Linked DNA regions of Arabidopsis thaliana. The protein of the gene in region 1 interacts with the protein of each later gene in a pairwise test. Each region holds a gene or a part of one and is shown in the gene's direction. Other genes may lie near its edges.

Region 1 (8,582 bases):
GTTTATTCTTTCTTTTTTTAAGAAGACCCGATCAATATAATCAACTTTCTCACGACGACTTTCCAAAATATCATTGAAGTCAACCTTCACTGAAGCAACTAACCATATGCATCGTCCAGTTCAAGATTCTGCAATGCGATTCAATCGTTACCACAACTTAAGATCGAAACCGGACATTAGAACCCCTTTGTTACTTCGTCGTACATTCGTCAACTATATCCTTACCTTTGGTATCCTTCGCCTTTGATACAATGATACCAAAAGAAAAGAAGAAATAATCAGAAATAATCAATTGTTCTGGTTTTAGGTTGACCAAACTCTTTAACCGAAATAATCAGAAATTCGAAAATAACCGAAACGAACCGACGTAAGAAACCGGATCGTCCAATTCCAGATTTTGAAACCAAAATCCAAACACATAAACCCTAAAACATTTTCGCATCTTCTCTATTCAAATCCTCTTATCATCGATAGAAATGATCATCACTGGGTTCGAAATTTTCTAGAATCTTCAAGCTTTCCTTACCAGTTTCTGATTAAAAGATGGACCCAATTGCTTCGGTGTTGGAGAAAGTGAAGAGCTTTACGAAATCGAGCCAGGATTTAGTCTCCCGCCATTTCGGCTTCCATGAGAATCCTTCTCGCCTGAATCCGGTATCGTTATCCATCCCCTTTACTCATTTTGTTCTTAAAATCAACTTTTTGTTTGAAATGTGATGTTGAATTTGAGTTTCTGCATTGTTGGTTTTGGGAATTATGTTGCAGATTGATATCTTGAAGCGATTACAAAGAGAAACATTCTCGGATTTGATGAAACTTAGAGAAAGACAAGAGAAAGTAGAGCGGATCATTTCCTCGCAGAAATTATCGAAAGGAGGTCCCTTTCAAGAGACTAGCACTCATGTGAGAGGTGAAGTTGATGTGCTTGGAGCTATATTGCTGATGGGAAACACTGACGAGGAAAGTTTCAATGGACTCAACAAAGAAGGAGTGAGACCGGGATTGCTTTCAAGGTTTGTGTTTGAAACGAGTCTTAGGGAGACAGATAGGCTTGTGGCTGAGCTTGTTGCTGGATACAATGGGGCAGGAAGTCACAGGGATTTTTTAGGAGGAGAGTTGTCTTTAGCCAAAGTCTTCTACAAGGCAGATATTAATGATTGGTTCTCTGCTATTGCTATTCCTGTTGGCGCGCATTTCAGAGACATTGAGGCTTCTACTGTGTCTTCTTACCAGGTATCCACCAATCGTTGCAGATTTCTGTTTCTATATTTGTTGTGTTTCTCATAAATAATCGTTATTGATAAAACTACAAATACAACTACCTTCGTCTTGCAGGGAATGAGTCTCACAGAAGTTTCTGAACTTGGACCACCTCTTTTAAGCCAACATAATGGGAGCGCCATAGGGTTAACATTCAGAAAGTCAAATATCACAGCTTCACTGGCTCAGTCTATGTCAAACGTTGAAGTTGAACAGGGTTTGACTGCACCGAATCGTTGTTTCAGAACATTTGGGCAAGTAACCTGCCACATTCTCAGAAGTTTAAAGCTATCTCTATTGGGCTGTCACCAAGTTTTAACATCATCTAGCAATCTCCATTCTGTTGGAGCCATTACAGTTCCAGTAAGTTTCCTAAGGCGCCATACTGCTACGGAGCCTGAACCATCAGCACCGCCTCTGGAGATGAGTAGAAACATGAATCATGTGTCGTCCAGTTCCATTGCTTTGAAGTTAGACTCTCTAATGGACGAGTCTACAAAACTTGGGGGATGGATTGAAATTCAGAACTCAAGAGAAAAGCAAGTGAAATGGTCAGTGTCTATTACAGACAACCCAGAGGATGAAGTGGGCTGGGGCATGAGCGTTGGGGGAGTTGTTGATGGTTCAAGAAATCATGATCAGTTTCAGGTGGAATCATATCTGAAATTCAACATAGGCGATAGGTTTAGATTAAGTCCATGTCTTGTTTATCACACAAACAGTGACGGAAGAACCATAGGTCTTATGCTAAAGTCTCACTGGTCGCTGTGATCTCAAGTTTACTCATTACTTGTACATTGATGGTTCGAATTACCACTGACTGCAGTTTTGAGATTTTTGTGTCTAATGCAATTTATTTGTCTGAAAATATTTAATGTAGCTGCCATTTTTGTGCCTTGAAGATAAAAGTTTATTGTCTATCATCGCTTAGAAAAATCTTTGTTGTCTTGTTAGTAATTGTTTCCATCTGTGTTGGAATAGTACACTAATTTGCTTTTTTTTTTATTGTAATGGTAACAAATGTCGTAATGCTTATTTATGCTTAGGGAGAAGTAGAATAACTGAAGATTGATCTATGATTAGTATGTCTTGATTGCAACGTAACATAGGTTGTGGCATTTTAAAGATTATTTGAAAGAATTCTTCTTAAACAAGATGTGACTGTACAACAGTTTGATTGATGTTGTCATGTTGAGAGCTACGTTGTGACCCTCTGTCTCATGAACATACAAATTCTCTAGACTTTTCATCTGTCGAAGTCAATGACCTTTTTCTCAGGTCTCATTTGATACAACAAAGTCCTATGCAGAACGCAATGGCAATATGAAAAAAAAAAAAAGAGAGGTAATTTTGTTCTCCATTTCCCTTTTATTTTTGCTCAAAGATTTGGCGTTTTGAGTCAATTAGACTTTCTAATAATACTAGTTTCGGCTTCTGTCGTTTTAGATGTCATTACTCATCAGTCATCATTGTGATTTGTGAATTGTGTGGCTTTCATTGGTAAGTAAAAAACTTAGAACGTCCATACAAAAAAATAACATGTTACCAATATAAAACAAATTAGGCTTCACATAACAATTGTATCAAGGGCAATATCCCCACCTAATTTCTCTATTCAATTTTTTGTCACCATCTAATAATTCTTTAAAAATTGCAAATTTTGGCCTCGTGGCACATTGTCTCGTATTTGCATGCAAAGTCAAAAGTATGTGTTGTTCGATAGAGACCACATCCTTTTTTAATACAAGATAAATTTGTTTGGTAAAAACCTTTCTCATAGTTTAAAAAAAAACTTTCTATTCCGTTTCAACTGAACAGAAATCGAATCTTTTGTACACTTCGTTTAGGCATTTCATGTGATACATTGTGTGCTTGCCTCAACAAATTCCAAATTAGCTACCCACAAAAAGATTTGCGACCTAATCCAATCTAGAACGGCATGACATAAACAAATTCAACTCAAATTCCTCAAACTTTAACGACGGCAAAACACCAAGTGGGCTGTGAAACACGCGTTCGTTTGTATCACCAAGAATGAGAACAGAAAAAAGTAATATTTGTTTTCAAATGCTATAATCTGCAAATAAAACAAGTGTACTCGAAATGTATAAACAATGACCCCATTGAAATCGCACTAAGGCAAGTAGTCCTCTCGCTTTCAATCGTTTCCTCTGCATTTAAAGAAAAGTCAAGATTGGTGGTTTATTCCACTCTCACTGCTAATTGGTGGGCTATTCAATGAATCCACCTAATAACATTATTACTCACACCAAAAACAAATCTTCGTTGAAACATAAAACTTTTACATCATTTTCTAAGTCAAGTCTTCTCATAGAGACAGAAAAAGACTACTAATTTACCTCTCGTGTAGGAAAACAAAGCAAAACTGGAGTCATTCTCTGTTTCAAAGAGTTATGGTGGTTTCAGTGACCATACGTCGTCGTTTTGTTCTTCTTCTACTTGCATGCACTTGTTTGTTGTCTCGGAGACTCTGTTTTGGTGAGGACAGAATCACTTTCTCAAGTCCTATCAAAGACTCAGAGTCAGAGACCCTTCTATGCAAAAGTGGTATTTTCAGGTTTGGTTTCTTCACTCCTGTTAATTCCACTACTCGGTTACGTTATGTTGGGATTTGGTACGAAAAGATTCCAATCCAAACTGTGGTTTGGGTTGCTAACAAAGACTCTCCCATCAACGACACTTCCGGTGTTATCTCGATCTATCAAGATGGAAATCTCGCGGTTACCGATGGTCGAAATCGCCTTGTATGGTCGACGAATGTCTCAGTACCAGTAGCTCCAAATGCTACTTGGGTTCAGCTTATGGATTCTGGGAATCTTATGTTACAAGACAACAGAAACAATGGTGAGATTCTTTGGGAGAGTTTCAAGCATCCTTATGATTCTTTCATGCCAAGAATGACTCTTGGCACCGACGGTAGAACTGGAGGTAACCTAAAGCTTACTTCTTGGACAAGCCACGATGATCCTTCAACAGGAAACTACACAGCTGGTATTGCTCCTTTCACGTTTCCTGAGCTTCTTATCTGGAAGAACAATGTCCCAACGTGGCGTAGCGGACCGTGGAACGGTCAGGTTTTCATCGGTTTACCGAATATGGATTCACTTCTGTTTCTTGATGGGTTTAATCTTAACAGTGATAATCAAGGAACGATCTCAATGTCTTATGCTAATGATTCGTTCATGTATCACTTTAACTTGGATCCTGAAGGAATTATTTATCAGAAAGATTGGAGTACTTCTATGAGAACTTGGAGGATAGGTGTAAAGTTTCCATACACAGACTGTGATGCATACGGTAGATGTGGTCGATTCGGGAGCTGCCATGCCGGGGAAAACCCGCCTTGTAAATGTGTTAAAGGGTTTGTTCCAAAGAATAACACAGAGTGGAATGGTGGTAATTGGAGTAATGGATGTATGAGAAAAGCTCCATTGCAGTGTGAAAGACAGAGAAATGTAAGTAATGGTGGTGGTGGAGGAAAAGCAGATGGTTTTTTGAAACTGCAGAAGATGAAAGTACCAATCTCTGCGGAACGGTCTGAAGCTAGTGAACAAGTTTGTCCTAAAGTATGCTTAGATAACTGTTCTTGCACAGCTTATGCATATGATAGAGGAATTGGATGCATGCTTTGGAGTGGTGATTTAGTTGATATGCAATCATTTTTGGGAAGTGGCATTGATCTTTTTATTCGTGTTGCTCATTCAGAACTCAGTGAGTGAAATATATCTAGTAGTTCTCACTTTGTTTCCTTCTCCATTTTTGTTTTCTTCACTGACTTAAGTTTTTACTTACCAACTTTTTGTAGAAACACATAGCAATCTAGCAGTTATGATCGCAGCACCTGTGATAGGCGTTATGTTAATTGCTGCGGTCTGCGTTCTTTTAGCATGCCGGAAATACAAAAAGCGTCCAGGTTAGAGTTTTGTTTATTCATGAATGTTAGATTCTGATTGTTTCTTTTATCATAATTGTTTTGCTTCATTGATCATTACCTTAGCAGCTCCAGCGAAAGATAGAAGTGCAGAGCTAATGTTTAAGAGAATGGAAGCACTTACAAGTGATAATGAGTCTGCTTCTAACCAAATCAAGCTCAAGGAGCTTCCACTCTTTGAGTTTCAAGTGTTAGCTACATCAACTGATAGCTTCTCTCTAAGAAACAAGCTCGGGCAAGGCGGGTTTGGTCCTGTTTACAAGGTAAAATCATAACAAAAGAAGTTTTCTGGAGGGAGATATGTGTACAAATTATCTCAGACTAAGTGATTGGTAATCTTTTTTTTTAGGGAAAATTACCTGAAGGACAAGAAATTGCAGTGAAGAGGCTCTCACGGAAATCAGGTCAAGGACTAGAGGAACTTATGAACGAAGTGGTTGTGATATCTAAGTTGCAACATCGGAATCTAGTGAAGTTACTTGGATGTTGTATTGAAGGTGAAGAAAGAATGTTAGTATATGAATATATGCCAAAGAAAAGCTTGGATGCATATCTTTTTGGTAAACTTATCACCTCTAACTCTCTTTTTAACTCTGTTTATACCGTTTGGCTCGGGATGATTATTGAGAAGGCTAATGTTTTTGCTAACTTTTCTCAGACCCAATGAAGCAAAAGATTCTTGATTGGAAGACTCGGTTCAACATAATGGAAGGAATTTGCAGAGGTCTTTTGTACCTTCACAGAGATTCAAGACTAAAGATCATACACAGAGATTTAAAAGCCAGCAACATTTTGTTAGATGAGAATCTAAACCCCAAGATATCTGATTTTGGACTTGCAAGAATTTTCCGAGCGAATGAAGATGAAGCTAACACAAGAAGGGTTGTTGGAACATAGTAAGTATCCATTCCAAAATACACAACAAACATTACGAAATTCGGTTTTATTCAAATATTGTTATTGCAGCGGCTATATGTCACCGGAGTATGCAATGGAAGGTTTCTTTTCAGAAAAATCAGATGTTTTCAGCTTGGGGGTTATATTTCTCGAGATCATAAGTGGGAGAAGAAACTCTAGTTCTCACAAGGAAGAGAATAATCTCAACCTTTTGGCTTATGTAAGTGTTACAAAGCAGTGTTTTTAGTAACTTATGGTTAATCAAGATTCGAAACTTACCTTAAAGACTTGGTTTTTACAGGCTTGGAAGCTGTGGAACGACGGTGAGGCTGCTTCTCTAGCAGATCCAGCCGTCTTTGATAAGTGTTTCGAGAAAGAGATAGAGAAATGTGTTCATATTGGACTGTTATGTGTGCAAGAAGTTGCAAACGATAGACCAAATGTTTCAAACGTGATATGGATGCTAACTACCGAGAACATGAGCCTCGCCGATCCGAAGCAGCCAGCGTTTATAGTAAGAAGAGGAGCTTCTGAGGCTGAATCTTCTGACCAGAGTAGTCAAAAGGTATCTATCAATGATGTGAGCCTCACAGCTGTAACAGGACGTTAACCTCACCACCACGCCAATCTCAGTCTGTTTATATACATAATAGTATGTAATATACACGTTTTGAGAAACTCCTATGTTTACAAATTTTGTTATCTGCGTCTGTGCAATGGTTAGATTACTGAAATAAGAACAGAGAAGTTATTTTCAGGTTTATGAACTTTGTTGAAACTTGACCTATTCTTACATATAATCAGATTTTTGGAATTAACTAACCTGGATGAAGAAACTGAACCTGAAGAAAACAGGACAAGAACAAAAATCCGTTGTTCTTGAGAAAAAGCCACAGCACATAGGTTTTGTCTTGAGAAGAAAGAATTAAAACACAATTATTGGTTTTGTGTATTGGTTGCTTTGCTATAAGTATATGTATATTGGAACAAACTTGGATAGGGGATAAGAAAATAACATCAGTTTTGACTTTTTCGAAGATACATTAACTACATAACAACCTTGAATTTTCTGCACAAAATTATTTTATAGCAGCGAAGAAATTTCCTTTTTGTGTTTTGTTTTTAGCAATGGTTTTATTATTAGTCATTTTCTTTCTTTTGTTATCAGTACTTCAATAAATAAGTTTTGTCAAAAAACCAGTCTCATTACACAAACTTACAGAGTTAATAAGATTCCTGATTCCTGTAACTGATCCTCTAGTCTTCTTCTCTTCTTATACGAAAAAAAGTAAAACATTTGGAAGTTGTTTTAACGACCTTGAATGTCGCTGAAGGTAACGTCATTAACAGAAATACCGGTTTGTCCCTTAAGACAAGCACCATTTTCACCGCCTCTCCTTCTCGCGGAAGTAAACGCAGGATGCTTTGGATTCGGAAGATTAGTGGCGTTATGACCCAACATGATGACAACAGAGGACATGTCTACTCTGTCCGAAGCGTTTTCTTGCACACAGAGCAACCCAATTTGTATGCACTTCATCACTTCTCTCTCATCATAAGTCTCTTGGTCCATTAAATTGTCTATGATCTCTGTTGCTTCACCGTTTTCCCATAGATCCCAAATCTACAAGACGGAGAAACATACATTTACTTATGTTCTGTTTTTTTTCCTCTGTTTTTGTGTAAAATTTTCAGTTATGTACTTACATGTCCGACTAAGTTAGATGATTCCTCGTGGAAAGCACTGTTTTTCTTTCCGGTTATGATCTCTAACATCAATACTCCAAAGCTATAGACGTCGGATTTAATGGAGAACTGTCCCTCCATTGCATACTCCGGTGCCATATATCCGCTGTGCAACAAGATTGAAACAGTTTAAGGTTGTAAGATTTTGGACAGTTTTGTGGTGTTTCAGAAAAGAGTAACTCACAATGTTCCGACGACCCTACTTGTGCATCCTTCCATTTGGTTGCCCCCAAAGATTCTAGCCATGCCGAAATCTGAAATCTTTGGGATCATTTCACTGTCAAGAAGTATATTGCTGGCCTTGAGATCTCTGTGGATGATTCTCAGTCTTGAATCTTGATGAAGATATAAGATTCCACGAGCAATCCCTCGGACTATCTCCATTCTTTTTGGCCAATCCAACTCTGCTCTCTGCTCTTCATCTAGCATGATGATAAGAAGAAAGAAACAAGAAAATTCAGAGTCATTGATCTTCCTGAAAGGGAGAATTTGAACCTGAGTTAAAAATGTTGAACGTACGGAATATGAAATAGTCTAGGCTCTTGTTTGGTAAATACTCGTATACCAACATCTTCTCTTCCAATTCAACGCAACATCCTAAGATCCTCACGAGATTTCGATGCTGCAACTTTGATATCAGCTTGACCTCGTTCTTGAACTCTTCCATTCCTTGTCCCGAGTTTCTCGACAACCTCTTCACCGCTATCTCCATACGGTTTTGTAACAC
Region 2 (6,055 bases), on another chromosome or scaffold:
CCAGGATAGTTTGGTTCGTACGACAAATATTCTACCTGCCCAAACCCAAGTTACTACCATTGATCGTTATCAGTTGATCATGATCGTATTAATTTTTGAATGTTTTATTTGTTAACTTATGTTATGATGTCGAGTTTATTTTTATTAGATTAATATATATTTCGTCTAAAAGATAAATATATTGCTGCAAATTAACCTCTTTTTTTTTGTCAATAATAATTTAGAAAATTGAACTAAACAAAATGTCTTATAATTACATAAACCCAAAATAGAAAAAATAGAAAAAGAAAAAGAAGCCATGTCGTGATGTGAATACACACACATTTCTCTCTGGACCTAAAAATCTCTCCCTTCTCTCTAAAAACAAAAGGAACCGCCACCTAGATTTTTTATATTCATAGTGGCTTCCATAGCACTAGAGCCGGTAAAATTCTTTCTCTTTCTTTGTTTTTCTCTTTTTTCGGCACATCCATGATTTTTCTTCCAACGGAATCAATTCTAGTTTTCTAGATCTAAATATTTAAAGCTTAAATCTCCTCCTCCTTTGGTTTTTGATGTTTTGCTTTTTTGTCTCCGCCATTCTCAGCATCATATCTGGTTGTATCTTTCTTGGTAGGTAGAAGCAGTCTTCAATCGGTTCTTCTCTGCCTCAGATTAAGAAATTTCGCCATCGTAAATCTAGATCTTCTTCCTTTCTTCAAGAGACGTTCTTTGAGTCTCTATTTTTTTGGATGCGTTTCACCGCCTCTGTGACTTCTCGAGAGTATTATAAAGAGGGTCACACGACACTTTCATTTGGTTTTAACTTGTTATAAAGAAGATTCTTGTATTATAATCTGTTTGTGTGTTTTTCTAAGTCTCAGTTTTGTTTTAATTTGCAAGGTTTAGGTTTTGTTAATCTTTTTTTTGAATTTCCAGATTCTGATCCAGAAAGTATTAATGGATGTTGTGTAGTTTATTTGCTCGGGTTTTTTTCCCTTTGTTTACTTTGTTTGATCATTGTTTCTGGTGTTCTTGTACTCGCCGACTAATGTTTCCGGAAGTGTTCATGTACTTGCCGGCTCTTTGTAATTCACTTTAAACCTTATCAATAGAATCTTTTTGATGAAAAAGAAGAAGAAGCCATGGAGCTATTCAAACTCATCTAACCGATTGGATAAAACAGCTCATTCATAGGAGACTACGCCACCAAAACTATTTTTTTAATATGTTTCATATCCCTAACAATACATTCTTCTTGAAAAAATATTCTACATAGCTCACAATACAAAAAACTTGGTTTAGTGACATTTGACATTTACACATATGAATGGTTGCAATATGGTCATAGCACGTAAAAAATGATCATATATTGTTCAAAAATATAGATCTTAATGCATATCGATCATGTCCCTCTGGTCCAATTGGTTTTATGATTTTTTTTCCATATCAATCAATCAAAAAGGAGGATCAATTGATCTGGCCCTCTATAACTAAATTTGTTTTAACTAGAAAAACTGGACCGCTCATTCTCCTCCTCTCAAGTTCTGGTTAGCGTTTTTTGAATCATTTTCAATCACAAAGTTATTTTTAAGAAAAAATCTAGGAAATGCACAACTTTGATTAAAAAACAAAAAAAAATTATAAGATTACATCTAACTTAATAAGCAATACTTAAGAAAAAAACAAAAGTACATACCGATAAAAACACGACACGTCAAATTTTATATCTAGACATTATAATATACATATGAATTTTAGTAAAAGGTAAAACAAAATGTAAATGTTGAAAATAGTAAATTTAATTTAAAATTTTTGAAAAAAAATATTAATAAAATACATATCTAATATAGTAATTTATAAAATATCACGTGGCGTTCGGCAATATATGGCACAAAATTTTCAAGGATAAGATTTTCTAATTTCCAAACTTTTATAATAAATCTGATAAACTTGAATTAATGTTACCAGAATCCCATTTAATAAAATCAGAACTAAAATTAGGCATTTTCATAAAAGTATTGTGAAAACATACAAATTAAAGATGTTCTTATAGAAAAAAGGGATTTTTTCACTATTAAAATTAAAAAGATAATAATCTAAAACAACCTTGTAGACCCAAAAAAAAAAGATTACAAAAATGCCTAACTTCTTTAACATTTTAAGAAGTCTTATCTTCACAGCACCTTCTAAAAGAAAAGTGTTCTTTCTGTAATTAACCTTTTTTAAACATTAAAACATAAAGTCTATCCTTTTAATAAATATTTGACTTTTATCATTTGACTCCTTCGCTAAGTCCGACGTGACGGACATATAGGTAATTTGTGTATATAAACCAGAAGTGTTCTGCTGGTAATCATATCTTGTAACCATAATCGTCTTGTGTCTTTTATTTCACAGAGACAAAATGGAAACCCCAAACATCATCAGCCACACAAATCTTCTATCGAAGATAGACCTGGAAAAACAAAACCCTGCCCCCATTTTCCCGACAATCACTGAGCTTAAAAGTGAGGCTAGGTCTCTCTTCTCCTTAGCCTTCCCGACAATCCTCGCGGCCCTCATCCTCTACGCTCGCTCCGCCATCTCGATGCTCTTCCTCGGGCATATCGGTGAACTAGAGCTAGCTGGTGGCTCCCTGGCCATTGCCTTCGCTAACATCACTGGCTACTCCGTTCTAGCAGGTCTTGCACTCGGCATGGACCCACTCTGTTCGCAAGCCTTTGGAGCCGGCAGACCAAAACTCCTCTCTTTAACGCTTCAACGAACCGTACTTTTCTTACTCACAAGTTCGGTAGTAATCGTCGCTCTATGGCTCAACCTGGGGAAGATCATGATTTATCTTCATCAAGATCCAAGTATCTCATCGTTGGCCCAAACATATATCCTCTGCTCTATTCCTGATCTGCTCACCAATTCCTTTCTTCACCCTCTTCGTATATACCTTCGAGCACAAGGTATCACAAGCCCTTTAACTCTCGCAACACTCGCTGGCACCATCTTCCACATACCCATGAACTTTTTCCTCGTTTCTTACCTCGGATGGGGTTTCATGGGCGTTTCAATGGCCGCAGCCGCTTCAAATCTTCTTGTTGTCATTTTCCTTGTGGCCCATGTTTGGATCGCAGGTCTACACCAGCCAACGTGGACCCGCCCCAGCTCGGAATGTTTCAAAGATTGGGGACCAGTCGTAACCCTAGCCATACCTAGCTGCATCGGGGTATGCCTAGAGTGGTGGTGGTACGAGATAATGACCGTTCTATGTGGTTTACTCATAGACCCTAGTACTCCAGTGGCATCAATGGGCATTCTTATCCAAACGACGTCTTTGCTTTACATTTTCCCATCGTCTCTAGGGTTAGCAGTCTCCACCCGAGTTGGTAACGAACTTGGCTCAAACCGCCCAAACAAGGCTAGGTTATCAGCCATAGTGGCGGTTTCCTTTGCTGGGGTAATGGGTCTGACGGCGTCTGCGTTTGCTTGGGGCGTAAGCGATGTCTGGGGATGGATCTTCACAAACGACGTTGCTATCATCAAATTAACCGCAGCCGCGTTGCCGATTCTCGGGCTTTGCGAGCTCGGGAACTGCCCGCAAACAGTAGGTTGCGGGGTTGTTAGAGGCACTGCACGGCCGTCCATGGCAGCGAACATAAACCTAGGAGCGTTTTACCTCGTTGGAACGCCTGTAGCCGTTGGGCTAACGTTTTGGGCCGCATATGGATTTTGCGGACTTTGGGTAGGTCTTTTAGCTGCTCAGATATGTTGTGCTGCCATGATGCTATATGTCGTGGCTACTACGGACTGGGAGAAAGAAGCAATTAGAGCCAGAAAGCTAACGTGTACTGAAGGCGTTGATGTGGTAATAACAACAACGCAAACCAACGGAGACTTATCGGAACCATTAATTTACGTTGTCACTGTCGCTACTGACTGACATCGATCGGTGTTTTGAGTTGTTTTATTTTATTTTACTTAATATTTGTGGATGAATCGATCAGTTTTTTTTGGGAGGGCATTGGGAGACATTTGTATTTTTAAACGAGAAAGTTACCAAAAAGAATCTGATTCATAATTTTGATCCAAAGTAATTGTGTCCTAAGTATTTGTACTTCATGCTATTTTAGAGAATTTTCTTTTTCTATATAATCGGCTTTGATTGCTCCAGAATTCGAATTCAAGTTGTTGTGCAACATTTTCTGATGTGTTCAATTGTGTTTTCGTTGTATAAGTAGTAGATCATGACTAAACATGTGTTCACGTTATATAATGATTATGTATGTTATTCAGTTTAATTGTATATATTTTTTCATGTATAAAAAGTTATGTTTTTTAAAAATATATTTCTTTTACTTTGATTTATTAAATATAAGATCAACCTATATTTGTTGTCAAAAAAAAGCATTAGGAGGATTTGAATTCGATTACAGCCGCAAAATGTTACAGCTATTTGTGCTGGTTAGTTCTCCAGTCAGACTCTTGGTGGTATTACTGCAACTCATTAATTTTTCTATTTAAAAAAATATATGGTGAAAGAAGTTCTTTAAATTCCAGTTTTCAACACGTATGCACAAAATTTTGCTTCTCAAAATTAAATATACAGGGGGAGGGGACATCTATACTGTTTGGTTACCTAGGTTTAACATCAAATACAAGTAAAAAAAAACGAAAAACGAGACTTAAGTATGCATGGTTAATGTAGCTATACATCGACGTCCATGAGATGTACTTTAGTGATTTGTATTAGTATTTAGATGTGTCACTACTTAAAATTTAATTTCGCATATTACATGTTGATGTTGTTAACGAAAATATATATACAAAAATAAGTTTTGTAGATCTACATATATGGGTATTCTTATATAATAAAACTCTGATCAATTTGACGGGAAAAAAAAAAAACTCTGATCACTTCCTGAATTTAAAATGTTCGTGTCATCGATAACTACATAATATTTTTTGTTATCAATGACGAGTCATTGTAATTATATATATTGGCAAAGGTTCTTGGAGTCATGTTTACTTGTTACATGTAATAGAAATTGTCTGAATAAACCTGTCCCTTTTCTTAAGAGTGTTAAACCTCTTTTCACTTGATTTGGTCATTGTCCCCAAACATTCCAACACATGTTTTGGGCCAATCCATGATGTTGCCTAAAGATCACCGTTGACTTTTCTTTTTTTACATCAGTATGACTTTTTTAGTTGTTACGTTGTATATATTTGACTTTTTATAAATTTTAATATTATATTAGAATTCTCCAATGTATACAAATTAAATAGCTTACAAAGCAAAAAATATCAAATACTACCCAAGAAGTATAGTTAGTAATAGCTGATTTTATCATTTTTCCTTTGAAGATTAGCCGTTACTTGGTTAAAAATTAGTAGTAAATTATTTAAACAGCATTTGTACGTCTTTTTTTTTTGTTTTCTTGGGGTCAATTAGCATTTGTACACTATTGGCATGTTCTAGGCTTATAGTTTACTTTTAACCCACGTAAAAATATTAAAAGTTATGTTTCGACTTATGACTTTTCTCAAGAGACGTGTTTTTCGATTGGAGTCATGTCCAGAAGACACTGAAGCATGCTTGTTTTACAACCAGTCCACGTTTTTAGGCGTCGATTGTTTTTCTACTCTTGCTTTTTCCAAAACTGATCTTTTCTCCATCTTGTAAAATACAAATCTTTGTATTATATTCTAAAATATTTACTGGTAAATCATCTTCTTGAGTTAAATTACTTTATAAATATTGTATATATTGTTATACAAAATAATTGATTACCAATTCATCTTTATGTATGTATATTCTAGTTTTTACCTCTCTTTTTTTTTTCTCTCCTGAACCAGTAAACTATAGATGTGGTTGCGTAAAATGACTTGATTGCTAGACGTATTTGCTTTCGTATGGCGATATAAAAACTTGTTGTCAACTATTTCGTCAAATCATATAAAATTATGTCTACTTATGACTATCTTTTTTTCGTAATAAAAATATGGTGCAAACGGCGAACCCTATCGTGTGTCCTCCTTGCACATATACAATTATATGCTTGTAAGAATAAAAAGAAGTTCC

What was found.
Region 2: the proteins of AT1G11330 (region 1) and AT5G19700 interact in a protein complementation assay, tested with the Arabidopsis thaliana proteins (one large-scale study listed by BioGRID).

What each region holds. Positions count from the first base shown.
Region 1 is NC_003070.9:3,806,698-3,815,279, forward strand, and holds AT1G11330 (S-locus lectin protein kinase family protein), read left to right. Parts: upstream 1-3,097; 5' UTR 3,098-3,674; coding exon 3,675-4,992; intron 4,993-5,086; coding exon 5,087-5,194; intron 5,195-5,281; coding exon 5,282-5,475; intron 5,476-5,561; coding exon 5,562-5,772; intron 5,773-5,870; coding exon 5,871-6,108; intron 6,109-6,178; coding exon 6,179-6,329; coding exon of another isoform or gene 6,330-6,356; exon of another isoform or gene 6,357-6,410; coding exon 6,411-6,719; 3' UTR 6,720-7,112; downstream 7,113-8,582. Other genes in the region: AT1G11320 (GDSL esterase/lipase), read left to right, coding at 544-654, 766-1,233, 1,336-2,031; AT1G11340 (G-type lectin S-receptor-like Serine/Threonine-kinase), read right to left, coding at 7,419-7,733, 7,817-7,961, 8,040-8,277, 8,375-8,582.
Region 2 is NC_003076.8:6,658,679-6,664,733, reverse strand, and holds AT5G19700 (MATE efflux family protein), read left to right. Parts: upstream 1-2,270; 5' UTR 2,271-2,386; coding exon 2,387-3,913; 3' UTR 3,914-4,056; downstream 4,057-6,055. UniProt on the Arabidopsis thaliana protein: May act as a negative regulator of hypocotyl cell elongation in the light.